3 linked regions of the Lonchura striata genome follow. The protein of the gene in region 3 interacts with the protein of the main gene of each other region in a pairwise test. Links are inferred from orthologs where the notes say so. Each region holds a gene or a part of one and is shown on either strand. Other genes may lie near its edges. The genes, in order: OTX2, CIRBP and ATXN1.

What was found.
Region 1: the proteins of ATXN1 (region 3) and OTX2 interact in binary tests that used the Homo sapiens proteins (3 or more experiments, as listed by UniProt). The link is inferred for Lonchura striata from reciprocal best matches to the Homo sapiens genes ATXN1 and OTX2.
Region 2: the proteins of ATXN1 (region 3) and CIRBP interact in binary tests that used the Homo sapiens proteins (3 or more experiments, as listed by UniProt). The link is inferred for Lonchura striata from reciprocal best matches to the Homo sapiens genes ATXN1 and CIRBP.

The regions. Positions count from the first base shown.
Region 1 is NC_134608.1:4,121,810-4,131,600, forward strand, and holds OTX2 (homeobox protein OTX2), read right to left. Parts: upstream 5,301-9,791; 5' UTR 5,258-5,300; coding exon 5,161-5,257; intron 4,812-5,160; coding exon 4,639-4,811; intron 3,401-4,638; coding exon 2,780-3,400; 3' UTR 1,453-2,779; downstream 1-1,452. UniProt on the Homo sapiens protein: Transcription factor probably involved in the development of the brain and the sense organs. Can bind to the bicoid/BCD target sequence (BTS): 5'-TCTAATCCC-3'.
Region 2 is NC_134630.1:6,365,110-6,374,900, forward strand, and holds CIRBP (cold-inducible RNA-binding protein), read right to left. Parts: upstream 5,702-9,791; 5' UTR 5,559-5,701; exon of another isoform or gene 5,553-5,558; intron 4,906-5,552; 5' UTR 4,900-4,905; coding exon 4,797-4,899; intron 4,702-4,796; coding exon 4,595-4,701; intron 4,164-4,594; coding exon 4,025-4,163; intron 3,934-4,024; coding exon 3,849-3,933; intron 3,744-3,848; coding exon 3,650-3,743; 3' UTR 3,324-3,649; coding exon of another isoform or gene 3,307-3,323; 3' UTR 2,549-3,306; downstream 1-2,548. UniProt on the Homo sapiens protein: Cold-inducible mRNA binding protein that plays a protective role in the genotoxic stress response by stabilizing transcripts of genes involved in cell survival. Acts as a translational activator.
Region 3 is NC_134603.1:90,442,091-90,451,881, reverse strand, and holds the start of ATXN1 (ataxin-1), read left to right. Parts: upstream 1-4,179; 5' UTR 4,180-4,275; exon of another isoform or gene 4,276-4,516; intron 4,517-9,791. Other genes in the region: RBM24 (RNA-binding protein 24), read right to left, coding at 2,044-2,098, 3,195-3,318, 3,853-4,020. UniProt on the Homo sapiens protein: Chromatin-binding factor that repress Notch signaling in the absence of Notch intracellular domain by acting as a CBF1 corepressor. Binds to the HEY promoter and might assist, along with NCOR2, RBPJ-mediated repression. Binds RNA in vitro.

The sequences.
Region 1 (9,791 bases), on a different chromosome or scaffold from region 3:
CACCTTGGGATTTTGCCCTTTGCCCACCGCACGTGCCCATTTAAATTAAACTCAGAAACGAACAGGGAGAGAAAACGTGGAAGGTACAAAAAGACAGGGAAAAATCAGAGAAACTCCTGCCATGAATTAGCTTTTTCTGATAAAAATGAGCACTAGCTGGAGGAGCTCATCCCTAACAGACAGGAAAATACTCAGGAAAGAAAAGTAAAAGATAAGATGGGGAAAGCTAAATGAAAAAGGAGGTTTTAAAGAGCCTTAAAAAAAATTAATAATCAAAAGCTCAGGAAACAAAGAGCTTTTCCAGGCAGGTGGGATGCTGTGCCCCAGTTCAGTAAGGACTTGGTTTTCTTGAGCATAATTTGCTCGAATAGATTTTTTTAGGGAGGGAGAAGTGAACTTTGTTGATTTGAAGCAAACCAGTGGAAAAATGAAACTTTCCACGCTGCTGCTTGGGAGATGCCAGCGGGCAGGGACACGGCTGGAGCTTCCCAAAGCTCCCCTGCACGGATCCTCCCGTTCCAAAAAAAAAAAATAAATGAGAAAATCACCGACTGACACAGGCTAACTGTGAGGCAGCACAAAGCTCTCCTTCCCCCAGAGTGGTTTATTTTAGAGGCTGCTCCCTGCCCTGGGGACACACGTGGCACTGCAGGAAGGAGCAGTTTGGAAGGGATGCTTTGGGACGGGGATGCAGAGCCCAGGGATGGATGGAGAGGCACCGTGGCTGCCTCATCACTCGTGCTCCTCAGTCCTGAGGACCAAAGCGTGGTGCTGGTGGCCCTGGGTGGCTCACAGGGTGCTGGTGACAAACCTGGGGGACAGCAAGTGACATGGTGCTGGGTTTTTTTTCCCAGATCACTCCCTTTCCAGAGATCCATTATTTCACTGTGCTAAATCCAACCCGAGTGCAGGGCTCCAGCAGCTCCAGCACTGCACACGGGAAGGAGAGAGGGAGAAAGAGGGAGAGGGACAGAGAAAGAGCCACCAAGAAGAGGGAATGCGTGGGAAAGGCCTGATCCTGCATCCTGGGGCTTCAGCTGGTGAGATTGTAGCTCAAACACCATCCCTCTCCTTCCCCAGCACCTCTGCCTGATCCAGGTTCTCCTTTCTTTCTGCCTGGAAAGTTCTCCCCAAAGACACAACTGGGGACTCCATCCCCTGGGAAGAAGCCGCCGGGCAGCCACGTCCCTCCCTCCCCACCAAGAGATTTGGCGAAGCTGGGGTGGGAAAGGTCACCTTAGCCAAGCTCTGCTTGTAATGGAAGTTTTTTTTAATTAAAGATTTCAAAAATAAAATAACGCCCCTCCTCGATTTTTGCTTCCTACACCTCGGGGAGATGCCAGCAGAACCCCTTTTGTCTCAACCCTGCAGAAGCAGCCAGACCCTCCTGGTCTCCCGTGCCCCTTCTCCGTCCCTCGCCGGCTGTGATTGAAATGGAAGACAAACATCAAGTGTGCTAGAACCATTTTAATATAATTATACATATCTGCCAAATCCAGGAAAAAAAGGTTTATGCATATATATCTTTTTTTTTTCTTTTTTTTTTCAGTTAACATCTGCAAGCATAAACGACAATGAATTTCTTGGTTTAAATTCATCCAGGTCAGAGCAACTGCCCAAAGTCCTGTCGGATTTGACGGTTACTGCCGGCGTGGCCAGCAGTAAGTGAGCTCCAGAGGAGTTAAATGTCCTCGGGTGGGGTATTTTCGGTCTTTCCTCTTTCATTCAGAGACAGTTTGTTGTAAAAAGTTTCAGTGCAGTTCACCTCGGGTGAAAGGCGATCGTGTTTTTTGCGTTTTTCTTTTTTTTTTTTCTTTTTTATTATTTTTTAAATATATATTTTTAATTATTTTTTTTTAAAGATGATAATAGGTAACTCAGTTGCTCTGAATTTCACTTATAATTATAACCTATTTAAATCACAGCAGAACTCCTGCTGGTGCAGAGTTCATAGTTGCATACAATACAGGAGATCACAGTTTTGAAGTCTAGCACAGATTAAAAACCACAGATGTACCATTTATATAAGACACACACTGATTGTCTCTTAAAAACTACATATTGACTCCTTATGAACATTATCTTTTTTTTTTTTCTTAATCTTTAAATAAAGTAGTGCAGCTAGGACAATCAGTCACACAACCCACACAGCCCTGAACCAAGTTCTCCGGGTGCCAACTTCAGCAAGTTGGGCATGAAACAGTTGGATGAGCTCGAGAGAGAGAAAAGAAAGAGGGAGGGACAAAAAGAGGGAGAAAAAGAGAGATGTTGTCCATTCTGAATATTTTAACCGAGGGTTGGCTAACACATTGGAAACCTCTGGGTGAAGGATCATCTTTCCACGCACACACAAAAAAAGAAATAAAAACCTAGACTTTTTTTTTTTTTTTTTAAACTGGCCCGCAGGTGGGAAGATCTCCCACCTCTTCCAAACAAAGAAACCCAACAATTGGCTAAAACTAGAAAGAACACAGATGGGTCTGTCTGGTTTCTGCTCACTAGATGATCTGTCCATTTAAGGCCTTCCTCCTCCGTTTTTCCTCTTTATTATTCCTTTTCCAGAGCGTCTGAGCAGGAGATGAGTCTGAACGGGATCACACCAACACTGTCCCCCTCTTGTTGCTGTCAAGTTTGTTTATTTTTTTTTTTTTGTTTTGTTCATTTGTTTGTCCGTGGAGTTATTTTTCTCTTTAACTTAACCAAGACCTGACTAAAACTGGAGCGCTCAGCCCAGCCTGTTCGTTCTCGTCGCGATTTCTCTCGGTATCACAAAGGTTCTTCACAAAACCTGGAACTTCCATGACGATGTCTGGTCCTTATAATCCAAGCAGTCAGCATTGAAGTTTAACTTCCAGGAGGCCGTTTGGTCTTTATAATCCAAGCAATCGGCGGTGGAGTTAAAGCCCAAACTGGAGGCTCCATAGCCCTGGGTGGAGAGGGAGGCTGGAGACTGGTTGAGGTGGCTGGTGACCGCGTTGGCACCCATGGGACTCAGGGTGGCCCCCGGCCCGGGGAGCTGGTGGTGCATAGGGGTCAAGTAAGATCCACAGTCCATCCCTCCGAAATAGGAGGTCGATCCAGCGTATCCTTGGCTGTAGCCTGATGCCTGGGTGTAGGTCATGGGATAGGATCTCTGCATGCAGGAGGAAGAGGTGGACAGGGGGTCTGAGAGCGGGGAGATGGACGCTGGGCTCCAGATGGACACGGGGGCACTGCTGCTGGAAATGGTGGGGACTGAGGTGCTGGAGGGGGGAGTGAACTGCCCGCTGGTCCCGCTCTCCGAGCTCACTTCCCGGGCGGGCGAATTCTTCTTTTTAGCCGGCCGGACCTTGTTCTGGCCCCCGTTCTGCTGCTGCTGCTGCTGCTGCCGGCACTTGGCTCGGCGGTTTTTAAACCACACCTTGAGGCAGAGACACAAGGGAGGGAGAGAGAAAAAGCCTGGGGTTAGGGATGAGATGGTGGCAGGCAGACCTCGCCGGGGAGGGAAACCCTAAACTGTCCCCCAAGAGCAGAGGGTTGCAGGCTGCTGCGAAGGGAAGCTCCGGGGCTTCCCCTCCCTGAGATAATTAGCAGCAATAACGAGTGGAAATCACAAATCAAACTCCTTAATAAGGTCACTTTTCGGGAGAAGGGGAAGCATTCTCTCTTTGCTGTTTGCCAGCCGGGGACCCCCAGGAATCACTGCGTAAGGCCTATTGAAGTCGAGCCCTTAATTAGAAACAATAGAACATCAGAAAAGCAGGGAACAATTAGGGAAGCAGAGGTTCAGGGTGGGGAGAGGGGTAAAGATGTCTCATTTATCCTCCAAACAGGCTCTCTGCTCTCACCCCCTCGGCCAGAGTTGGCCCCTCAGCCCATCTCACCTTCCCTTAGCAGGGCCCAAGGGGGCTGGCTGGCTCTGGGGAGGTTTTGTGGGAAGGAGGATGGGGTTTGGCATGGGGGTATCCTGATCCCGGCCACCACGCTCCACGGGAGCACCACACAGCCTCGGGAAGCCTCGTCAGGGAGCAAGTGGAAGGGATGGCTTTGGAGATGCCCTGTCCCCCTGCTGCTGGGGTGTTCTAGGTCCCAGAGGGAGCAGGACCCTCCTGCCTTGCCAGCAGCATCTCCAAAATGCTGCCTGCATGGGCTCCCTGCAGAGCAGACACAGCCCAGCCCCGGGAGAGGGGCTCTCTCCACCAAGGCAGCCCCTCTCTCATCAAAGTCCCCTCAGAGGGGGAGGAAGCTCCCAGTCTGTACTGGTTTGGTCTGGGATCCCAGTCTGGCCCAGCTCCAGGGATGTGGTGATCCCCGGGGAAGTGGGCATCCTCTGTGGCTTCTGCAGGACAGACTGGGATTTGGGCGTGCTGGGGATGGGTGTGGAAGGTCCAAGAGCTGGGATCCAGGATCTGCATAACACCCCCTCAGTGCAGAGGGAGGAAGGGGGGGCACAGCCAGCCCTGGGGATGCAAAATGCCACCACATCCCCTCACTGAACCCCCACCCGTCTCTGAGCCTCCTTCACCCCACAAGGGCTTGATTTGGCTTCAGGACTGGATCCATCCCCTAAAGCCGTGTCCCTCCCAGTCAGGCACAGGCCAGCCCAAGCCCTTCCCGCGGTACGGAGGGGGAGGGCAGGTAGGGATCTCCGCATCCTACCTGCACTCGGGACTCGGGCAGGTTGATTTTCAGGGCCACCTCCTCCCGCATGAAGATGTCGGGGTAGCGGGTCTTGGCGAAAAGAGCCTCCAGCACATCCAGCTGCGCCCGGGTGAAGGTGGTGCGCTCCCGCCGCTGCTTCCGCGGGGTGGCTGCGAACGGAGCCAGAGGCCCTGGCTGTCAGTCAGCGGCCCCTTAGACCCCGCTGTCCCCTCCAGCCCCCTCCCTAGAGGGGCACCCACATTCTCTCCCCTCTCCCGGGGGTCCCGCACCCCCAGGATCAGCCGCCACAGCGCGGCCGTCCCAACTCCGTGCGTTCGGAGCATCCCCAGCGCCGGGGTCTGCCCTGTTTGCAGCCCCTCTCCCCCAGAAAAACTTGGGGGTCAGGAAGAAGGGACCCCACGCGTTCACCCGCCCAAGCCAGCCGTGATCCCTGGGCATGTTGTGCCTCCAAAATCCCAGCGGTTTCTCCCCCGCGCAGCAAAATAGAGGGAGGGAAGAGGGAAGAAAAACGTGGCTTACCGGGATAACCGACGGACGGATGCAGCAAATCCATGCCCGAGGTTGTGAGACTCAGGCCATTGACTGCATAAGGTGGTTGCTTAAGATAAGACATCATGCTAAAGTTGTGGCGGGGAGGAGAGTTGGCCGAAATCCGGGCGAGGGGGAGCCGGCCGAGCGCCCTGCCTGCCCCGGGCGGTGCCTGGGGGAGCCGTCGGGCGTGGGGGGGCCGCCAGGTGCCTGCGCAGGAGGAAGAGGAGGGAGCAATGCGGGGATGAAGGGGGGAGTCAGGCCAGATCGCTGCCCCCCGCCCCCCCCGCTTTTATCCCGGCTGCCTTTCCCCCCCCCTCCACCCTCGTCAATCCTCCCTCTCGGACCCCAACCAGATTTGGGAGCTGGGAGAGACTGACTAGATAAACGCATCTCTCCCCAAAAAGGGCGAGGAGGGGAGGGAAGGGGGGGCACATCCCAGCCAGTAATTACTGCCCGAACAAAACCCCCCCATGCCTTCAACTGCCCGCATTGTACGGCGGCCGGGGGCATTTGCATAGGATTCCCGGCCGGGCACCGGCTAATTGTCTCAAGCAAAACTTGATTGGGGCCATTGGCAGACACAAAGAACCCCTCGGCTAAATAAATAATGCAGATAACAAAGCCCAAGGGTGAGAAACAAAGAAACAATTCAAGAAACCTATCTCTCCACTAGTCTCTTGCAAGGACTTTAATTATCCCAGGTTTGGGCAACATTCAAACCTTTCCCCCCTTCTCCCCCTTTTCCCCTTCCCCCCGACGTTGCTGCATTTCAGAGCTCAAATGCCCGCTCGGGAAGAGCCAAACTTTTCTGCTCTCCCGCCATCAGTCCACGTCTGCAGTAATTTCCACCGGCCATTTGCACCTAATTAGTACTCCGGGTAATTAGATTTGGAGGCAAGTAACAGATTTATTAGGCTTTCAAGAAACTCTTGATGACGGAGCTGAAGCTAAACAAACAGCCCGGCGGTGAGCGGCCCCGGGACAGCCCCGGCGAGCCAGCGGCTCTCCCGGTCACCGCTCGGGCTGCCCCGGTCCCCTCTCGCTGCCCCGACGGGACCGGCATCTCTGCGCCGGGGAACGAGGGGGGACCCAAATATGGGGTCCGCCAAAACAAAAAAAAAAAAAAAAGGGAAAAAAAAGGAGAAAAAAAAAAAAAAAAAAAAAAAGGACGGCAACGGGCCAAACAGAGACTCATAAAAAGGTTAAAAAGGTTTAGGCCGTTTTTTCCCCACAGAAAATATTTTTTTTAAAATCTTTTTGAATGAAAGCTCGCCCTTCCCTCCATCCCAGCAGCCGTCGGGAAAACGAACTCCAGCAGAACTTTCTTCCCGAAAGAGCCCAAAACTCCGCGTTCCAGCCCAGCCGACTCCCCGGGAGGGCCCAGCGCTGCCGGGGGGCTCCAGCCCCGTGCACCCCCGGCGGTGCGAGTTCTCCGCGGCGCGGACTTTCCGCTTCTCCCCTCGGGGAAGGGATTTGCCGGGCTGAGCGGCGGAGGGAGCGCGCATCCAGCGCGGGGGGCGCAGGGTCGGGCCCCGCTTTTAGCATCACCCCCCGGGGGAAGCCGAACGGGGACGGTTCTGCCGAGGGGGGAGCCACGCTCTGTTCTCCGCGCAAGACGCGCGGGAGAGCAAAGCGGGGCTTGCTGCCCGCTTCAAAACGAGCGGACAAAAATATTTTAAAAAGAAAAAAAAAGAAAAAAATACTAAAAAAAAAAAACCAAAACAAAAAAAAACACACACAAACACCTCCTCTCCAAAAAAAGCAAGCCGTTCGGTTAAATTCGGCGGCATCCCACCGAGGCGCCAGCCCGGCGCGGCCGCCCGCGGAGCCCCTCGGCCGCGGCCGCGCATCCCGGGGCCGCCGCGCAGCCCGCGGAGCAACGGCTCCACTCCGCAATCTGTCACCTTCCCCCGCCTCCCGCTCCCCCCGCTCCGCGCACATCCCGGCTACCAGTTGCTCTGCCCTCGCTCAATAATAATTACCCCGTCCGAGAATTAATTATAATAAATGTTTTCTTGATAAACTAACGAGATAATCCGGGCGGCACACGCTCCCTAATTACGAGGCACCGGCCCCGGCTCCGCTGCTCGCCCCGGTGATTAATGCGGGGCAGCGATCCGCGCCCGGCCGCGCAGGCTGCGCCCCCGGCCCCGGCCGCGCTGCGGGGGCCGGGGGGGCTCGGCCGGGCCGCGGAGCAGCGCGGAGGGGCTCCCGCGGAGGGCGGGGGGAAAGGTGCCAAGGTAGAGAAGGGAATTTGTTTCCTTTTGTTTTGCGAACGACAGCCGCGTTCCCTGCCCTCGCCGCGCTCCAACGAATTCAACGAATCCAAATTTATTTAATTTTTTTTTAAATCAAACCTTTTTTTTTCTTTTTCTTTTTTTTTTTTTTTTTTTTTTCCCGCACTGAAGGGACTGTTTGAAGGGATATTTCCCGACAAGCGAATTTTACCACAAATTGCAAAGGCGGTGGGGATGGACCCGTCACCCGCTCTGCCGGGCGGTCCCCCAGCGCTTCTCCCTCCGCAGCTCCGCGCTGCTCCGCGGCCGCGGCTCCTCCCCGGCCCCGGGAGCGGCAGGGCCGGGCTCGGCGGGCAGCCACGTCCGCCCCAGGCCCGTCCCTGCCGCCCAGCAGCACCCGGCCGCATTTTTAAAGTGCTTTTTTCCCCCACTTCTTTCTATTATTATATATATATTTTTTTAACTAGAGTTGCGCCTTTTCAAAATAAATAAATAATAAGCCTCAACTTCTCTAAGCAGCCGAAATCGAAATAAAACTCAGCAGCCAAGGAGGGTTTTAGTTCTAAAGAAACTTGTGCCGCTGCACAAGGACTTTTCCCGAGTTTTTCTTTGTCAGCGCGGTGCGAATATAGAGAGGCCGGGCCGCGCTACTCGCGGTCGGTGTCTTTAGGAAGCGCTTTCCCAAGGCATAAAAAAATAAAATTAAAATAAAATAAAGGAGGTGGATACCAGTTCCAGCCCCTCTCCGACCTGGATGCCATTCCTGCCACCCCTTTCGCCCGCCCCAAATCCTGAAGCTCCGGCCCTAAATGCTTTGAAGATTTCTCTCCCTGCGCTTTCCAGCCCGGTTCTCCCGGGCCGTGAGTGCTCAAAAACACCTTTGCAAAATTACTTTGCTGAGTCTCCGCATCGCGAGGAAGAGGAGGAGGATGAAAGGGTTCTCAGGTAGGAGTCGGAAGAGGGGAGAAATTCAATTCCTCCCCGTTGGTTTTTTGGTTGGTTGGTTTTTTGGTTTTATTTTGGTTTTATTTTTTTCTCCATAATTTTAAAACTCAAGCTTGAGGTCAGGAAATATCTACAGGCCAAAGGAACAGGCCGGAAAAAAAATCATGTACCCAACGAAAAGGCGATGAAGCCCCGCGCCTGCCCGCGGAGAGCGAGCGGCTCCGCGCCCGGCCGCGGGGGACGAGGCTCGGGGGGCGAGGGCGGCGATGGGCAGCGCCCCACGCTTCCCAATTTTGCCTTTTTCCCTCTCATCCTGCAGCTCCCGGTCCCTGCCGAGCACCGAGCCGGTGCTGTCCCCGAGCCGGGGCCGCCTCCGCCCGGCCCGGCCCGGCCTCTCCCGGGCAGCTCCTGCGGGATCCCCGCACAGCGCAGCCCCACCGCGCACAGGCTGCTTGAAAATAATCATCATTTAAACAAACAAACAAATAAAAAAAAAAAATTCGATCATTTGAATTCTCCCCGCGTTCCTGGCCGCCCAGCCGTGCCCCCGAGGAAGGATGGAGCCAGCGGGTCGGACTTACCTGCGAGGCTCGCCGGAGCCGCGGGCAGGGCTGGGGGGCGAAGGGGGAAAGCTGCTCCCGGATCCTCGCCAAATTCAGAGCTCGGGCTGAGCTGGGAGAGAAAGCACAAAGCGGGAGGTTAGAGAGCTCGCCGCATGCACATGCCCACGACATCGGGGGGAAAGGGGGGGGGGAGGGGGGGGTGGAGAAAAAAATGTTTGAAAAAGGAGAATAAATGGGGAAAAAGGGGAGGGGACGGTGCAGGAGAGGGATGCGGGGATGCTCGGGGTCTGGGCTCGGTACATACAGAGCTGGCCGGTGCTGGAGCTGGTCAAAGTGGTTTTATTTTTAATAATAGTGGCAGGGTGCGTTGGAGCTGAAGGTCTCTACCTCTCTCGGGGAGCTTTGCTGAGAAAGCGCCTCTCTGGCAACTTTTTGACGCAAACTCTCCAACCAATGGCAGGGAGAGAGTGATTGACACATCTAAGCCAGGGGGAAAATAATAAAAACACACACAGGGGGAGGAAAAAACAGGCCGCTGCTGTACCGGGGGGACAATCCAGAGAGAAATAACAGCCGCCGAAATGACACCAGAATATACATTAAAAGAACCTGCTCGGTTTAAAAATATACATTATGGAGCGGAGCGGATGAAGTCATTGTAGAAATTAATGTGATGGACAGCAGAGATGGAATTAGCGAACTGCCCGGGGAAGGCGAGGAAAGGGGGGGCAGCAGAAGGCTGGGGGGTGGCTGTAATAATAATAACAACAACAACAAAAGATATTAATGTATAGAAGTAAATATTTGTGAAGGGGGGACACGAAGCCTGCCGGGAGCCCTGGGCTGAGCAGCAGGAGATGGGTGAGAGGAAAAC
Region 2 (9,791 bases), on a different chromosome or scaffold from region 3:
TGGACACACAGGGCTTACTTTTTTAAAAAAGGGCATTTTGGCTAAAACTGGGTCACCCAAGCTCACGTCAGACCCACAGCACCCAAACACCTTCCTGGTGACGCACTGGGTTCCACATCCAGCCCCTTGCTCCAGCGATTCCCTCACCCATCCCAGCAATACATCATTAACGCAATGCCATAATTAGCAGTGCCAAAAATAACAGCACCTTCAACCAGGCTATTTTTGCACCCGTTCATTATTTCTGCCTGCATCGAAGCATCCTATTTAGGAAGGTCTTACAAAGCATTATTTGTAAGTATTTTCAGCCTGAATTAATTTAAGCCTCACCTGACTGCATTTTTATCAGCAAAGACTTCACACACTCCTCACAATTCATTGTATTTCATATCCTCCTGCATTAACATGCAAAAATCCTCACTGGTGAATTGCTCAATACAACCCCCAGAAGTGTGTCATGGCTGATTGCTTTTTTTAAATGCTGCTTTCTTAGATAATTTGAAAAAGGTTAAAGGAGGAAAAGTAGGTTTTGTGAAGTGAGCTCAATAATCCCCTCCTGCAGGCAGGAGTGTCTGGAGACTCTTATCAGTGGGATTGGGCAGCAAGTTCTCAGGGCTCCTGAATGAGCCCATCACCAAATTTTGAGTTTATCCGTTTCAAAAAATGGGGAGAATAGGGCAGGATGAAGCAATCAACTCTTCTCTAACACGAAACAGAAGGGCAGGAGCAGCTGAGATCATCAAAAACTCACTGCTCTCACCCTGCAATCTCCTGCCAGAAACACATTCAGCTTGTCAGCCTCTCCCAACATTTTATTAATCCTCATTACCAAGCTGCCACATTTTTGGGATTTTACCTGCAACAAGACCTCATTTTCCACGAGGATCACACATCAATCTGCTTGGAGCAGTGTGTCCACCTCCGAGCACCAGAGTGATGGTTTTGCTCTGTGCTCTGAACTGGGCTGTGCACCAAATACTTTTGCCAAAAACATTCTGTTTCCCACAAAAAGTACCACAGAAATTTGGTTTTTTCCACATTTCAGTGTTTTATTCTGTCTTGATTGATTTGGTTCATGTAAAAATGATCAACACCACTGCTCTGTGCTCTTCATGTCTCCACTCCAGTGTCTGTCCTTCTGCCTTCTCTGACATGTCTCAGTGCTGAAACGAAATGGAGACAAGAGAATTGGAAGGTGGATAAAGATACAGGAAAGGAACGGGGTTACTGCACCACTTAAGAGCTCAGGGCTACAGAACAGGGACACAGCCAAAGGAAAAACAAAGAAAAACAAAAAAACCATGAAAGGGACATTACCTGGCTGGCAAACTTGCTGCAGCATCCCTGGAACGCAGCTCTGGTCGCTCAGGATCCGCTGGGCCTCCGAGGTGTGTGCCGGGTCCCTTCAGCCTGCTAAAGCAGAGAGGCATTAACAAAGGCCCAGGGCAGAGGCTGCTCTCGCCCCCAACCTCCCCACACAGCTCACAGCGCACGAGGGTCTCACAAGCCATCGCTGAACCCATCACACCACAAAGCACAGTCTGGGAAAACTGTTCCGGGCCGGCTGCTGCCCGTGCTCAGCCAGCCCATGGATTGGATCCCCTAAGCAGAGAGTTAACACTTGGACATGGCTGCTTAGGAAGTGTGGGCCATGGGAAAAAGTTAATGGCAACAAGTAGGATGGCAAAGAAAGCTACAATTAAAGTGAGCAACTTAATGAAGTCTAGAAGAGTCTCAATAGATGAACACATATCGAGTCAGGGAGTTCGTTCCAATCTTGCTTCCGTACCTACAGCAAGACACGGCTGCATGCCCAACTCTGATCTGTGGAACTCAAGGTGTGCCACAAGCCAAAGGTTGCATACGGCATGGGTTAAACGTTTTTCCAGTAGCTGACCAAAATTGTCAAAAGGAATATTTCACAGGTACATTAGACTTTCAAATGAGCTCTCAACAAGAGGAAGGATGCGGACATGAGCAAAAGGAGTTACCTCGAATTACAGGACTATTTCCACATATGAACTAGCCAAGAGAGCAGCTCTCGTCTCAGAGGTTTCTGTTGGAGGCACAACACTTCTTTTCTCCAAGGACACTGCAGTTTCCATTTGCTAGCAAAGAATTCTTAGAACTTGTAAGCAATGACACAGCTAAGCTAAGCCCGGCATTCCCCTACATCACACACGCGCTCGGCACGCAGGGAACAGCCCAGGGACTACAGCACTTGGCTCTTCTCTACAGCTTCCCAGTGTAGGCTACAGCAGCTTTGGAGCAAACATCCATTATCCTTCCTAACATTCCAACTTCACTTCGCTCCTAGCACACCCTCAGGTTTGTACTTCCAGCCTCTACAGACAAGTTTTGACTACTTTATGTGAAATTTCTTGGCCAATTCAGATGTCAAGACCGATTTTAGGATTTAAATTCCAGCGCCCGGGCAATCGTCCGGCCAGCTCTGCCACTGTCCCTAATCTCCTCCTCTCGCTCCCGTGACTGTTCTTCATCTCCAAGGGTTGTGTTGTGCAATGAAATGTAAATGTCAGGAGCAGAGTTCATTTCAGACGGTCCTTTAATAGGCTTCGTAAAGCCAAAGAAAACTGTATACAGGAATCCTTTACCACTTCAAATACAACAGCAATGGAATATGCATATTTCTTCCAGTAAAAAAGGACAATATAAATAAACATTTTCAAGAACCTCTTTATGGTAAGTTTGCAAGTCTAGTTCTGGGTCATTTACATCATTACAACAGTAAAAATACCGTTATGCGAGTGGAACATACAAGCACGTTTCTCTTTAGATATATCAAGGTGGTTTGCCTTCCAACGGAACCCAAGCTGCATTCCTACCTTGCTACACTAAAGGAATGTTACAAAAGACAAGGGTAATGCACTTAAAAAAAAAAAAAAAAAAAAAAGAGAATAAAAAGTCCACAGCTTGTTCAGCTTCCAGTGAACATTGGTACAAGATCCTTGCTAGCTCAAAAGAAACTGAATTGGGGCCCCAACTTAGAAAAAAAAAAAAACAACCAAAAACGAACACCTTGGCTCATTCATGGAGAATAAAATAAAATCTGAAGTGCTTTCAAAGAAGATTAAAACCACTTGAAAGCAGAGCTTTCTCTGAGACAGTCTAATCAGACAGTCTCGTTTCAGAAGCTGCCAGGCTGTGTATGACAAGATCAGAACTGATAATACTACAAAAGTGAAAATACAAGTAGATGTACTACACAATAACCATTTCAGCGAAGCTCCAAAAATCTTTATAAATACAGCCATTGGAAGGACGATCTTGAGTCAGGAAGGATTTTTACTCGTTGTGTGTAGCTGAGGACAAGAAGCAGGCACAATTGTAAAGGCACTGAAGCAAAGACAAGTTCCAGCATTTTACTCCCTTTGCAATATTCCGAGGCTACGGCTACTTGGCTACTGAGATCCCCCACCCGCGGGTCAGTGCGTTAGGGCAGCCGAGTTTGGGCTCCAGGAACACCTTATTTTTTTTTTTTTTTTAAACACTTGCTTTGCCTTAGATCCGAGCAACTCCTGCACATGCATTAAATTAGAATCTCCCGGCACCACCACGTCCACAGCCTGAGCCTGCCCCAGCTCCAGGCTCAGGCTCAGCAGGTTCAGAGCTCCTACAGCACACGGACTCAGCGCTCCCGCTCGAAGCAGGACTTACCGTAACTGTCGTAGCTGTCTCTGTAGGACCCTCCTGAGTTCCTGTCTCCATAGCCACCTTGACTCCTGCGGGACAAACAGCACCTCATTTACAGCTGCTCAACTCCTTCTCTGCTGGGTTGAATTCCACCACAGCTTGCCCACGAGCCCTGGTGCTGGCAGAGCCCTTACCTGCTGTTATAGTAGTCTCTGGAGCCGTTATAGCCTCCACTTCTGGAGTCGAATCTGCTGCCGCCATAGCCTCTGTCTCCACCTCCTTGGAAATACATGGAAACGCGGTTTTTTTAACCATTCTGACAAGACACATTCCCCCATCCAGACATTATGACTGACCCCCATGCACTCACCTCTGGAGAAGCCACGGCCCCGGCCTCGGCCCCCGCGGAAGAAGCCCCGGCCCCCCGAGGACCCCCCTCTGTAGCCACGGGATCTGTTCTCAGATGATTTCCCAGCCTGGTCGACTCGGATCTGACGCCCATCTACAGACTAAAACACAACCACAGTTAGCCAAACTGAAACATTTAAATAGCAAGCACATGTAGAAGGAGTCACATGCCTTCACAGTTGGCTGAGCAGTGCCAGGACTCGCTGCTCAAGAAATAACCATCTATTTCATGCCACAATTAAACCAAGTAGGCAAAAAACCTGATATATTAATTGCATTTACGGGAATACCTATAAAGTCGTATCTCAGTCATCCAGGTTCCATAATGGAACTTTATCAATTTGTATTCGTAGTATGTATATATATACATATAGGTTCTATGTATTAATCTATATAGCCAGATTTTTTACATCCATATCAGCTCATTTAAGACACTGGCATTTATCTGGTTTTCCACACAGCCTGAACAACAGCACACCTCTGAGTCTCCTCCATTATGGGAAATGAAGAATCAACTCCGAAACCTCCTCACCTTTCCATTCATGGCCATCATTGCATCTTTCGCATCATCGATATTTTCAAAAGTAACAAATCCAAAACCTCTGGATCTCTGAGTCTCTCTGTCTTTCACCACCACGACTATGAAAAGGACATAGAGGAAACAAAAACCCATCAGCACCAGGGAAATTTAACAGACTAAGGGAAACTATGTCATTGTGGCTCTGCAGTCTCACCTTCAGAAATCTGTCCGTATTTAGAGAAGACTTGCTCCAATGACTGCTCATTGGTGTCGAAACTCAGCCCGCCGACAAAGAGCTTTCCCTCATCTGATGCCATTCTGACCTGCCAAACCAACAGAACCGAGTCAGCAACTCAAAAAACCCACATAATCCCCGCCAGGCCACAAACATTAAATCCTTCTAACACTACCTATAACGCCACCGATGTAACCTCAAACTCCCGGACCACTTATGCGCCCCTGAGGCCACACCTTATGTGGTCTCCCAGCCTCAGAACGGGTCTCCCTCAGGGCGGGCGGGAGCGAGGGCCCAGCGGCAGGAGCATCACCGGGGCCGGGCCCCGGCGGAACCGGCGGCCGGGTCGGGTCCCGCCGAGCCCCGGTGGGACCCCCGCGGCCGGCCCCTCCGTGCCCAGCGCGCATGCGCGCCGCGCCGCGCCCCCTACCGGCCTCCCCGGCGCAGCGGCGCCCGCCGCCCCCTCCCTCCCGCCCGCCATTTTGCACGGCCGAGGCCCGTCGCCATTTTGTTTCCGCGCACGCCTTTCCCCCCGCCGCGGCCCCTTCCCCCTCGCGGCCCACACCGGCCCGCTCTGCCGCGCCCCCTGTGCCCGCAGAAGGCACCGATCGGCGGGTCGGGAGCTGCGGCCCAGCCTCCTGCGGGACCCCGAGCTCTGCCCCTAGGACACGGCTCCGCTCACCGCGGACCACCCCGCCCGGTGCGGTCGCGGACGCCCCGCGCGACTGCGCTCACCGATACCCGGGCGGCGCGAGGTTCCCACAACACTTCAAAGCTTCAGCGAAATGTACGGCGAGCCTGGCGGGGCGGCGCCTTATAAACGCCCGCGCCTCATCCCGCCTATCTTATGAATATGCAGATGAACCCCGCTGCAAGGAGGGGCTTCGCGTCACCAAAGCGCCGCCGCCGCTTCACCACCTGATTGGGCGGGATTTCATTAATATTAATGAACCGCGACGGGGGCGAAGCAAACAAAACCACGCCGTGGCCCCGCCCCTTCCACCCATGCGGGGGGGCGGGGGCGCGGCAGGCGGCGCCCATTGGCTGCGCGCGCGGAGGCGGGCGGGAGCGCCCCTGTGAGAGGGGAGGAAGTGGAGGGCGCTGATTGGCCGGGAGGGCGGGCCAGGCTGGCGGAGGGGGCGTGGCCAGGCTGGCCCAGTTTCGCGCCCTCTCGCACTGCGGCGGCGGCCGCAGACAAAGGGGCCGCCTCAGGGGCCGCCGCCATCTTGGGCGCCCGGCGCTGCCCCCGGCCGGGCTCCGGCGGCTCCTCCCGCCGCCGCCCCGTCGGTCACCGCCCCGCTGAGGGAGCCCGTTTTGTGCCCCAGAACCGTCCGCCTTCCTCTCTGTCCCGTGGGGGAATGATCCCTTCAGCTCCCTCTTTGCAGTGTTGCCCTAGATGATAGAAGTAGTCAAAGCAACAAAGTTTTCTTAAAAAAAAAAACAAACAAAAAAAACACAAAACTTTGCTCTCAACCTGTTTCCCCAAAAATTGAAAACTTTAAAAGCCCATCCTGAGGTCTGAGAAAAGTGAGAATGCCTTCAGCAGGAAAAACTTTGTATTGAAAGAGAAAATTGGCAAAGCCAAAGACGTGTCTTACCGAGAGGCGACACAGCTTTGAAAGTCCTCAAAATAAAAACGTTCGGTGTGCCATACATTACAATCTCACGTAGAAAAGTGTTAGGAAACATTGGAGAGGAAGAGACGCACGTGAAGAAATGGAGAGGGGGAGATGCAGGGGAGGGAAGAGCAGCGTGAGGAAACGGGAAGGAAACGCGGCGAGGACGGGGCTGTGCTGTCCCCGTGTGTGCCCCGCGCCCAAGGACAGCACTGGACACAGCAGGGTCACTGTGTGTGTGTCCCCTCTCCCAGGTACCGCCAGACACGTTTTTTCTGCTTCCACAAACTCCTTGTAATTCATGGTGCAGTTTGCAGCCGCAGTTTGCCGCTCCTTCCCTTTTCCCCTTCCCTTCCCTTCCCTTCCCTTCCCTCCCAGTATTTCCAGTCAGAGCCAGGCCGCACAGAAGAAAATCACTGGAGTACAAAAATCACAACTACTTGGTGACCGATTTCCAAACCACAGGGAAATGCAAAAAAACCTGCCTGTGATTGCTCTGTCGAGCACCGATCACCCATTCCCTGCGTCCCAGAACATGGAAATTAGGCTTTTCCTCTCTGATTTGTTGGGATCCCTTTGGGATCTGCAGGAAAAGGGCAGTTTGCACATAGGTAATACAGCAATTACAAAACCCAGGGGCACCACAGCAGCTGTGGATTTTTTGAGCTCACGGGGCCACAGGGACAGAATGCTGCCACCAAAGTGTTCAAAAGCACATAAAAGATCCCAATATTGATGACACACCTGGCCAATATTATTATTTTCATACGATGAAAAAATGTACTCACTTTCCTAGGCCTGGAGAAGGGAGCAGACGCATCTGCTGTTACTGCAAATTGATTTTTGCCCTTCAAGAGAGGAAAAGATCCCAGCCCTGCAATCACAGGCACAGCATTTTGATTAAATTAGAGACCCATTAACGTGAGCATTTCTGGTCTGTGATGAGGGTGGATAAAGTGACCTTGATGCAGAGAGCCATTTTCCAGCCTGAGATGCTGGACAGCCAACACTAACCCCGCTGCAAACCTTGAGGGACAAACACCGGGATTCACTGGGATTTGACTCCACACAAAACCAGGCAGGTCGGGTGTTGTGAAAATAGCAGTGAGAACCTTTGCTGCTTTGGGGGAATTTGAGTCCCAGCAGGATCAAGGGCTGCTGGCAGCAGAGGAGCTCCTGTGACAGGGAATGGCGAGCACAGCCCTGCTTGGTTGTGTCCCAAAAGTTTGATTTCTGTCTCCCTGGGGCGTGTTGATGCCTTTGCTTTGACAGTGAGAGTCACCAGTGACACAAGGAGAGAGCTGGGCCAAATAGACACGGTGTGCTCTGGCCCCAGTGCTGCTGCTGCAGGGAGGGTTCAGTGCTCCAGTGCCCTGACTCGGGGCATCAGACATGGCATCAGACATGGCATCAGCTGTGGATTTGACAATCCTCCTGGATATTCCATGATCAGGCTGCACACAGGGGCCGCAGCTGCCCCACGTCACCAGGGACATCACTGCACGTCCCACAGGCTGGGCTCTGGCTGGGAGCAGCGCTGGGAGCAGCCAGGCAGGCAGCTCACCCGGCAGATTGCACCAGCCATTGGGGCAGTTAATTAAGCACTGAAACAGCCCGGGATTCACATCCTTAGAGCAAACCTCCTGCAGCAGAAGGGCCCTGCCCAGGGGCCCCAAGCAGGCAACACCACGTAGGAGATGCAGAGTTCACTCCTGTGTGAGTTCCAGACCTGAGCACCCATGGCTGTTTTCCCTGGCTGAGCCCTAATTTTGGTCACCTGGATCTGGCTGTGAGAAGGGCTGTGGCCGTAGTGACCCCATTTGACAAAAGTGCCAGCACTTCCTTAGGAAGTGCAAATATCCGCTCTGAAGCAGAGCTGTTTGTGTGTACAGGTGCAGCCACGGGAAATTGTGAATCACCAGAGGCTGGAGGGACCTCAGGGATCACCTGGAGCTGATTCAAGCAATCCCCCCACACACGACTGATGTTTTTATCACCTATTTTTTAAACCTTCCGAGGGCAGAGGTTGTAGGACCGAACATCCTGTTAATGCAAATCTGATTTCCTAGAAGTTCTGCCTGTCCAGCAGCACAGCAGGGATAGCACCACACGGAAATGCCACGGGGGAACCGTGACAGGAGGAGCTGTGCTGCCCTCCCACCTTCACCCCGTGCCATTCCCACATCAGCATGAGCCTCTCTCACATCCCACGCTCCATCCACAGCACCGCGGGCTTTCTCTGGGGGTCCCCACCTTGCTGGGCTGTTTGTAGGGCTCTTTCCCAGTCCCTGGAGTTGCCCAGAGCCGTGCAGCAGCTGAGCCCAAACCTGCTTGGCAGCCCTGGCACCTTTTGGGGAGCCAAGGGCAGCCCCCGCCCCGGGCGCTGCTCTGATGAGGTTCCCAAATCCCGGAGCAGCTCCTCCGGTGCTGCCGCCGCGGGCCAGGGCTGGGAACAGGAGCGGTGGAAAGGGGAGGACGGGGCAGTGGTGCCACATCTCATCCTCTGGTGCTGCTGTGCTTTACCCGGGGCTGGGAGGGAACAAAGCCCTCCAGGCAGCCCCCTTCCCCCGCCCGCTCCGGGTTCTGGCACAGCGTTCCTCCTGCTCCTGAGCCTCGGCAAAGCCCCCGGGACCATCCTCCCTGCTCCAGGCACAGCGGTGGGGGAGCTCCGCACGCCCCAGCACATCCTGCAGGGCGCAGGAGCCGCCTCCTCTGCCTTTGTTTCTGCTGGGATTGCAGGAAAGGAGGGAATGTGAGGCCGGAATGAAGATCTCATCCCTGCGCCTCCACCCCAGCCAACACCAAGCCTCTGGTTCCTTCCTGGTTTTCCCTGCAAGATCATCTTATACCAGGAGCAGGGAGATGCCACAGGGGAAGCACAGAGTCTTCCCAGGCCTCAGGGACCCCAGCACAGGACCCCTCGGTGTCCCAGCACAGCACCCATCAGTGTCCCAGCACAGCACCCATCAATGTCCTCAGCACAGCACCCCTCGGTGTCCCAGCACAGCACCCATCAGTGTCCCCAGCTCAGCACCCATCAGTGTCCCAGCACAGGACCCCTCGGTGTCCCAGCACAGCACCCATCAGTGTCCCCAGGTCAGCACCCATCAGTGTCCCAGCACAGCACCCATCAGTGTCCCAGCTCAGCACCCATCAGTGTCCCAGCACAGCACCCATCAGTGTCCCAGCACAGCACCCATCGGTGTCCCAGCACAGCACCCATCGGTGTCCCCAGCACAGCACCCCTCAGTGTCCCAGCACAGCACCCATCAGTGTCCCAGCACAGCACCCATCAGTGTCCCCAGCACAGGACCCCTCGGTGTCCCAGCACAGCACCCATCAGTGTCCCAGCACAGCA
Region 3 (9,791 bases):
ACAAAGGTTTTAGGATGACCATGTACTTCAATGCAAACCACACAGCAGAAGTGAACTCTTCAACAGAAGGAGATTCAAATAAGCACTGAAACATCCTTTCTTACTGTCAATTAAGTGAATGAAGATGTTAATTCATCCTAATGATTGCTGTTCTCCTTAATCTGAACCACATACTTTAGATAAAGGTATAGATCACCGGAAATTTTGAGGAGGAAGAAGGGTTGGTAATCTCTGTTGTGTACACATTGTGAAAGAAATGCAACAGTCAAGAATGAAAAATTACCAATTTTATATAAACATGACTCCGTGACCAACATTCTTTCAGATTTATGTGCAATGCATTAGAAATCCAACCTCATTCAGCTTGCTGGAAGGATCTCCCTGACTTAAACATGGTTTATGTCATCTCTTGTTGGCTTTGGGTAAGGAAAGCAAGAAAGACTCCTACATTTGCAGAGTCCTTTAAGCAAGGGACTGCCACAGATCCTCCTTTTCTGTTGTGCTCAGCAAAGACTCTGTGATCCCTGCACAATTCAGTAGTTCCCTTTTCAACAAATGTTTTAATAGCTCTGGAGAGGAGGTGTTCTGCCTCCTGCCTGCCTTAGTGCAGGCATCATAAACTGATCAGTGCATATACATTGTCATCTCACACTTCAAAGAAGCAAGCAAAATACAGTAGAGGATGATCATAACAAGGTAGAAAAAAAAAACAGAAAAAATGTTTTTACAGCCTCCCCACTCTCAGAAGAATCAACACACTTTTAAAATTACATGAAGTTTCTAGGAAAAACCTTTTCCTGTTGTTTTCAGGATAAGAACTGTTTCCTTCCATTCTGACAAATTAAATTACTGAGAAGCTGTTGTCGTTTCATAACAGGTAAGTATGATATTCTAAAGCCAGTCTAACCAAATAAACTACATTTGCAACACATTTTCCCTACTATATTGTTAGCTTATGCATTTATTAGCAGAATGCACTATTTTGCAATGAGTTTCTCAGTCACTGTGCATTAGTGAAGTGACACTATGGAAAGCTTAAAGCAGACTTCACCTCCTAATGATATGCCTATAAGAAGCAAGAGTTAGATCCACTTAGGAATAGTTTATACTCAAATTCAGGAGAAATGCACTACATATTAATGACAGATTGAAGAAAAAATCCCCTCAAATTAGAAAGCCCAAATGGACGCACATCGTTAATAAGGAGATCCACACCCTTCCCAAGAACAAACCTCCCAAAAATTATGAACATGCAAGCAATATGTTGATTTACTTAAAAATCAAGAAATCACACAAGATAGCACTCACTACAAAATATGGTTAAAAAAGTCACAGGCTACAGCTTGAAAGCAAGGAAAAAAAAGGCCCTTTGCTCCCCATGGCAAAGTCACTCCTCAACAACAAAACCAAAATTAAAAAAGATCCCCCCCAAAAAACTTTCACTACAGCTCTTTCAATTAAATAAAAGCACACAGTTTAGCTATCAACACCACTTCATTACTGTAATAAAAAAAAAGCACACGGAGGTCTATTGACTATATGAAAAAAACATACATGCATCGTTAATCACCATTTTAGCTTGTTTGTGTTTGAGTCTACTGGTTACAGAGTTTAATTCCAAACAGAACTATTCCACCTCTTATCATCATATCCTTCTGATCAGTTATCTTAACTGTAAACGATCCCTGTCAGATTAGAAAGAGATAAATAACATTGAGTCAAGCTGAAAAAAGAGAAATGGGGCACAGCAATCTTGCATCAAATTATTCCTCCTTGTTTTATCATAGGGTCATGTGGGACTGGACTGCTTAGGCGGAAGGGCCACGTCCCACACAACTTGACTCAGCTGCGGCATTTAGAACATGACCGACAAGGTGAGCACATTTATGAGTATACATTTATAAATCTGAGAGCTTCAGCATTGCTGGCCAGCTTTAAGGATGCTACTGTAAGAGGCCTTCAACGATCATACTTTTCTTTCCTTTTTTTTTTTGAAAAAAAAGATTTATTTCCTCCCCTCTTTGAGATCCCATTGAGACTTACCCGAAAGGCCTCTGTATGAGAGCTGGATGAAGCTGCTGGACACCAAAGGCAAAACCTACCAACAAAAACACATCATATTCTCTGTATGGTTGTTTTTTCGGCCACTTCTTTATGTTATATATATATACACACACACAAAAAAAATGCGGAGTAAGAGCCTTTACTAACAGCCTGCAGTAACAATAGCTGAAACGCTGTAGAACCAAAAATTAGAAAGCAAAATACATACACACACACACACAGAACTTAAACCAGTAAAGCACACGCTTTCCTAGAGATGTTTAGGAAAACGACGTTTTCTAAACAAGTACAGGGTTTTCATTCACATTTTACCTGGTGCTCCATTTGGATCCCTAACTTTAGCATCTGAATGACTGGATGGTACTTTCCATTCATCAGTCTATTTGTGCAATTTCTACAGACTTAAAATTTAAGTCACCCCTACTCATCAGGACTTAGCATAGGGGGTCAAATCCCAACTTCATTTCTGCTCTCCAGACACCCTAGCAGAAACCCTGTCTTCTACTGGCAGGCAATTAATTACTCGCACAAGTGTTCATCAGGCTAAACATGAGGGAATTCAGAACGACCTCCTTTAGAGCATAAATGTGCACACACTCCATGCTCCTCTTACTTTTGCTTCAAGTGTCCCAGCAGTCTGGGAAGTGGCTAGGAAATCAGATTGTCTCAGAAGTGGTCTTAGGAAAAGCCATTTCATTTTAAAATCTGTATAATTGCTCCCATATGTTTGAGAAGTTTGTATTAAGATATTTAATGTTTGTGTTAATAAGACCGCACACATTGGAAGCGAGTCACTCCTAGGCCAATCTTACCCTGCAACGATACTGTAAATGGTCAGCGCCACCACATTCCCAGCAGCAGGAATAACCAATGAAGTGTTTGAGCTGTGGAAGTCTTCCTGGGGAACTCCAGATATTTTATCTCTGATTGCTTTTGTTTTTTAAATAAGGCACATGTGCAAAATAGCCAGAAAATTACTACATGCTGCATTTAAAAAATCAAAACCAAAGCACGCCCAACTGTGTGCGTACTTCAGGAAGGTGGAGGGCAGCACTACCTTTTTTTGAAGTTTTACTCTCTTCAGAAACCTGAGGTATGGAGAGAAAAGCCATTCGGAGCTGCTTCCTCACCTGGCTGCATTATCCGCGGCTTGGCACCCAGGTACGCCAGGTTCACGTTGGCTTTCCTGCCATCGATGATGGGGTTGGGGTCCTTACAAGCCCTTTCGGCAGCAGCTCTGTCAGCCGTGGTGACCTTAACGGGCGATGCCGCGCATTAGATCCCTTTCCGCGGGGAAGGAGAAGCCTCCCGCCCATAGCAGCGACCCGGCCCTACCCGCGGGCGGCGCCGAGGGGCCGCCGGCCGGACCCCGGCCCGGGGCCCGCCCGCCGAGCGGAGCGCAGCGCAGCGCCGGGAGCCGCGCCGGGCGCAGGGCGGAGGGCGCGGGCCGAGCTCGGCCGCCGGCAGATAAACCCCGCAGCGGCCGTATCAGCGAGCAACAGGCGCGCCGGCGGTGTGCGAGGAATTAGGCAAGTCCCCCCCTCAATCTCCTTGTTCAGTAATCCCCCCCACCCCGCCTCTATCCAAACTCCCCAGCAGGGAGAGAGAAAAATAAAAAGGAAAAAAAAAATTAAAAAAAAAAAAAAAAAAAAGAAGAGAGAAAAGCAAAAAACCGGACGCTCGGCAGCCCCTCCCGGCCCACGAGCTCTCACAGCGGCCCCCGCGGAAGTTTCCCCGCGATGCCCTCCCGCAGCCGCCCACCGCCCTGCCCCGCGCCCCGGCACTTACAAAGCCGTATCCCCGGGACTTGCCCGTCTGCCGGTCGGTGATGACCACCGCCTCCTCGATGTCCCCGAAGACCTCGAAGTACTTGCGCAGGCTGGAGTCGGTGGTGTGGTAGGGCAAGCCCCCGACGAAGATCTTGGTGTAAGTGGTGTCCTTCTGCGTCGTGTGCATCTTCAGCCCGGCCCTGCGCGCCGCGATCTGCACCCACGCGTGGCCACCGGGGTGTGCGGGTCCTGGGCGGCGAGACCCACTTCCAGACTCAGCCCCGCTCTTTTTTTCCTTTTTGTTTTTTTTTCTCTCTCCTCTCTTCCCCCGCCCCCCGTTTTCCCCCCGCCACCCAGCTACAATGCAATTCCCTTCTGCCTTTGCAGACCCAGCTTCTTCCTCCTTCAAGAGCGGAGCCTCGCAGCCTCGGGCGGTTTTGAGGTAGGTACCGGCAAAAAGAGGAGGGGAGGCCGGGCAGCAGCCAGCCTGGCGGCTGTAGTGCTGGAAACGAGCAGAAACAGCAGCTGGAAGAGGAGTGCAGGGCCTGGGCTCTAACGACTGAGTGGCCTCCCCCCTAAAAGCCACCGGGTCGGTCACTCTCGGTTCCTCCTCCTCCTCCTCGCAGGGGGCGGGGACGGCGGCGGGGCGGACCCCGCGCTCGGCCGCGGCGCGGCCGGGGCTGACACACAGCTGTTGGCAACAGCTGGGTGCCCCCCGTGCGGCGGCAGCCGGGCCTCGGCGCGGCCGGCGAAGGGGCGGCCTCTGAGGTGCCCCTCGGGGGACGCCCGGTGCCCTTCGAGGCAGGTTTGCTGCAAACAGCAAGTGCCGGGTGATGGGGTCCGGTGGGGTCAGCGGTGCCCGGCCGTCCAGAGAGCCCGCGGGCACAGCCGGTTCACTGGCTGCTGGCGGTCCTCAAATGCTTCGATCCCTCCCCGAAGGCTTGTCGTCAAACCTCTTCACTTACTGCTCTCTCCAGGCTAGCAAAACTATGGTGCTGCAACACATCCATTTTTATTGTGGTGGTGCTGGTGGTTGTGGTTCTTGATGTTCTTTGGTCACAAGATGAAAAAAAAAAATGGTAAAGCTGTTTCCCTTGTTCTTCCTCTTCTCTTGCTGCCTCTGCCCAATGTTGGGACTGGGAAGGATGAACAGAAACATAAATAAAGGAATGTCTGTGTGACATGAAGAGACATAGGACTGTGGGAGTTGGGGGGAAGGGAGACTCACAGAGAGACCGGAAGGATGGGAAGAAGGTTAAAACCGGGGAAAACAGATGTGCATATGTGTACAGACTTCTAAACCATTCTCTTGCAGTCCCAAAGTCTTGATAAGTACTGTGTGTCTCTTTTTCCTCTTTCACCACCTTCTAGGTGGTGAAGAAAGCCTAGTCTGCTAGGCTTTTCCTTATGAAGACACTCTCACTTAGAAAAAAGAGCAGTGCATCACTTGCAGGATGGACTTTCACAAAGTTCTTCTGCCCTTCTGGTACCAAACATTGACCATAATGAGAGTACTTAGCCCTAAACTCAGGCCCTGTTTGCCCATGTCTAACCTTAGTTCCATTTGATTTTTGCATCAGTAGTTTTCCTAGTTCTAATGGCCTATACCTATACCAGTCCTAAGCCATGCTGTCACTAAACTTTACTTGACGCTTCAGACTCTCCAGATTAAATTTGGTTTAACATGTTAAGACTAACTCAAGTGAAATCTAGCAGAACCACAGGATGAGACATAAATGTTACTTTTCAAGTGAAATTATGACAAGCCCTTAACATTCACCTGAATTCGATTAGGTCAGTTAGCTCTGTCTCCAAAAGTCTACCAGCTTGACTCTCCTGTTGGTCTGGAATATTATGTTAAACCTGACACTCCGAGGGCTAATTGTAACTTTAAACTCTAGCCCAGTGACCTGAACTTAAATAGTAGCTCAGCTAAGGGTGTCAGTGCTCAATGGAGCCCTGCAGCACACAGCCCACTTAGTAGTGTATTTAACATCTCAGACCCCTGTGGACCTGGAAGATGAACTTCTAAAAGTTCATCTGAATCCAAATGTAGTCCACCCCATCGTGTTTCCTTTCTCTTGCTGTGCCCAGCACTCCTGAGTGTTTTGCGGTGTCTGCAGAAAGGGTGAGCTAGCCTGGCTTTCCAGTCATTACACAAACTCCTTTATTAGGGCCAGAAAAGCAACATTTGTCTGTCCCAGAAATACTTGCAGATGTATTTAGAAGTACACTTTTTTCAGCCCAAGTGGAAGACTGGTGACATTGACAGACCCAAACTCAAAACCTGGCTTTTTGGTCTAGCAACAGCAGGTCTTCCAGGTAGCAGCAACAGCAGGTCTTCCAGGATTTAGAAAAAAATCCTGTTGTGTTTTTTTTGTTTTTTTTTTTTTTTTTTCTGGAAAAAACCCTAACTTTTCACACCTATGTCTCAACAAAAGACAAACTTCTTGTATTTAGGTAGGGTTCATCATGCAGCCTGTGTTTGTGCTGCAATACTGTTTTCAACCTTCTCTGAAAGGCTAACACATCCTCTTCTGTAAAACCAGAAGTGAAGCTGGCCATTAACAGATCAAAATATATCCTGTAAGCCATGCTACTACAGTCCTACTACTGTATTAGCATCCTCAATTTAAGATGACCATCCTAGTAAAATTTAGGAATAAATACAGTTCTTTTGTCCATTCATTCCTATAACTGAACTGTACCACTAACACCATCACAGGAGAACAATCCCTTCTATTGAAGGATAATTTCTCAAAACTTAGTTTTACCTTACATCCCTTCTAGCATCAGACCTTTTTCTGTTTTGGTGGTCCTGATAGAATCTAGGATATGATTCTCCAGCTTTAGAATTCCTAGGAATTCTTACCTAAATCCCAGAGAAGTGATACCTCATCATTTGCAACTTCCTCTAGCCCATTCACTGTCAACACAAGCCTTTATTTTTGCGTGGCATAACCTGTGAAAAACAAACACAGGCTTCCAGCTCCTGGATGCATGATCTTATGACCTAACTGTGGCTGATACAATTCTACTAGCACCAGGCTATCTACTCCCTCAGCAGGTCTCAGAAAGAAAAATATTTTCCATACATATCTCAGTCTTAATCATCACTTTAGGGTTACCCAAAGAGAAGGGTGACCTCTGTCATATGGAAATTAACTGAAGACCATTTGAACACTTTAATGATCAGGAATATATTGTATGCTTCTCTCCTATACCATATATTAACTCCAGATTTTGGGCTAGTCTTAATCCAAAGGAGGTTACCATGTACAGCCTAGGGAGGGAGTTCTTTCTGATTTACTTGTTGTGAAAACATTCGGGACTGATTGGGGCTTGTGTCTTTGTGCTAGGGCTAGGTTTCTGCAAAGTTTGAAGAGTGAGGCTTATCTGCAGAACCTATAGGTACCACAGAAAACTGATGAATCTGGATGAATTCAGATGAGGATTATCCTGGAGTTAGACTGAGTTGATAGGATAGTGTTTATGTGGCCATGCTGGATGTCTGGCTAAATTTGCAGTCAGACTAATGGATTTTAAGATTTAAAGGAATGGACTGTATAGCATTTATTGTGCTGAAGGGAAGTCTGTGGACAACTTCACCAGTGTAATTTTCCCAATTGCTTGAGATAATATGTATTTTGGTGTATTTTGGCGTATTTTGGTGTTTTGAGATGAATCAGCTGATACTTATTGCTAGGGATCTGGTTGTGGCTTCAGAATGCAAGTGTCGCAGAAAGAAATGTATTCCTATATGCTGCAAATTTTGAAGGAATTATGCCACTGGTGAAGTGTGGCAATTTGGGCAAGAAGTGAGAACATGTGGAAGAGGACTGTCTAGGCAGAGCATTTCTGGGAAAGATGTGAAACTGAGGTTCCTAAACTCATGGAAATTTGGAAATTTAACCAGGGTTACCCATGTTTTGGTAAGTACCACAAACAGTAGATCACTGTAAAAGGGCAGGATTGTTCCTGTAGGCAGCTATTTTGGCCTTTTCAGGATCTCTGTTTTAAATCAAAGCAGAACATAGGCACCCAGGTCCTGCTGCAGTCTTTTATATCGCTGCGAATCTCTCCTAGGTATGGAGGTATTGATGCTGAAGGGTATTGTAGCTGCCAATTACCTTCTATGTAATTTTAATGGTTTAAATATATATATCTGAAGCTATAAATGAGAAAGTAATCTAGGGTTTTATTTGGAACCTAGTAACATGGCTTAATGGGAGGGAACCCCAAAAGCTATCAGGCACAATTAATTGGTCTTAATCAGAGATTTTGTGATTTTGCTGTCGAGGTAGGATAGAATAGACAGCTTTCCAGTTTACCAAATGTTGCCACTCAGTGGTATCAGCGTAACTGTAATGTCATGCCTTTTATTTATTTATGAACACCATATGCCTGTCATGTCGGAAACCAATGGATGTTGTGTGTTCATTCATTAGGTTTCTGGAAGCAACAAAGACCCGTGATTATATTGCACACCAGTCATTCTTGCTAGTGCTTTATTTCAGTAGATAATGTGGTCTTCAGAACACTCACTGCACCATCAATTAAATGCAGCTGGAATTTCTCTATACATATACATCATATACATATACATATACATATACATATACATATACATATACGTATACGTATACATATACATATACGTATACGTATACGTATACATATACATATACATATACTTAGAATGCCTGGGGCCTAAACCACCATGATTTATTATGCAGGGCTGAAAATGAAAGCAATAATTTCTCTGTTAACCTAGTAAGACCATCAGTTTGGTCAGTGAGACATTTCTGCTGAAGTTCCATAATGCCATAGCTCCATGAAAGCATTTGGCTAATAACATTAGGCACAGTCTGCTAATCTATGCACTTCCACCAACCACGTCCCATTACAGAGAAGAGTAGAATGTCTAACCTCTGCTCTGCTCAGTGTGTGCTACACAGGTGATAGTTTGTCTAGGGAAGCATAAAATAGGTAGTACACTCATGTTCCAACAGATCACAGTGCGAGAAACTTGGAAGCCTCATCATCATCTCACTCTTCTAGCTGATCTGCAATCTTTGTCTAGGATAAGTTCTTGAATTGTGAATTTCTGCTAAAAGTTTCCTAACTGAGGAAGCTTCCACCACCTCTCTCCTGATAGTGTCCCCATTATAACAGATTTCCTCATAGGATTCTTTTTTCCCCTGAACTATATTGCCGTATTCCAAAGTCCCTTTTATTACAGTATCTGAGCTCTAAGCCACATGAACTTCAACGATGGAAATGTCCTTATTCCCAATTAAATCACCAAATGTCAACCACCAGGTGTAGTTTCTGATGGGAATATTTTTCCCTTTAAAGGGCAGTGGAAGAGGTGACACAGAATTTCAGTGATCCAGCAAACAAAATTCGAAGCTTGTGGAACTGTAGATTAAAGACATGTGCCTATCTGTAGGAAAATAATAGACATGTTAGGGGAAGCAGGGGTGAATGATGAGTGGAGCCAGAGGTTGAATGCATCCATAAAAGTTTCAATGCATGTCATGTTGGTAGGGGAACGTGAGGAAAAAGTATGTTAGGAAAAAAAAAAAAACAAGGAAAAAGCTTTATGAATACCAAGTCATGGGTGCTATACTGAACAGTGCTGGTCAGTGCTAGGATAGGTCAGAAAGTAGAATGAGGCTGGTGCCTGATGTGAACTGAAGTTGTCCTATGATGCTGTAATGGAGGGAGCACGGATGCCAGAGGCTGAACCTGAAAAATCACAAAGCTCTCACACTCATCATGTGACACACTCAGGGTTAGAACAATGATTCTTAATATTGACAACAAGCAAGGCAGTTGTATCAGGGAAGCAATAAATTGGGATTTGCAGACTAGCTAAAACTTAGAAATTGGAATGTGAAACACCTGAGTCTCATGCTTACCTGTCCTGATCACAGGCAACTAAGAGACAGACAC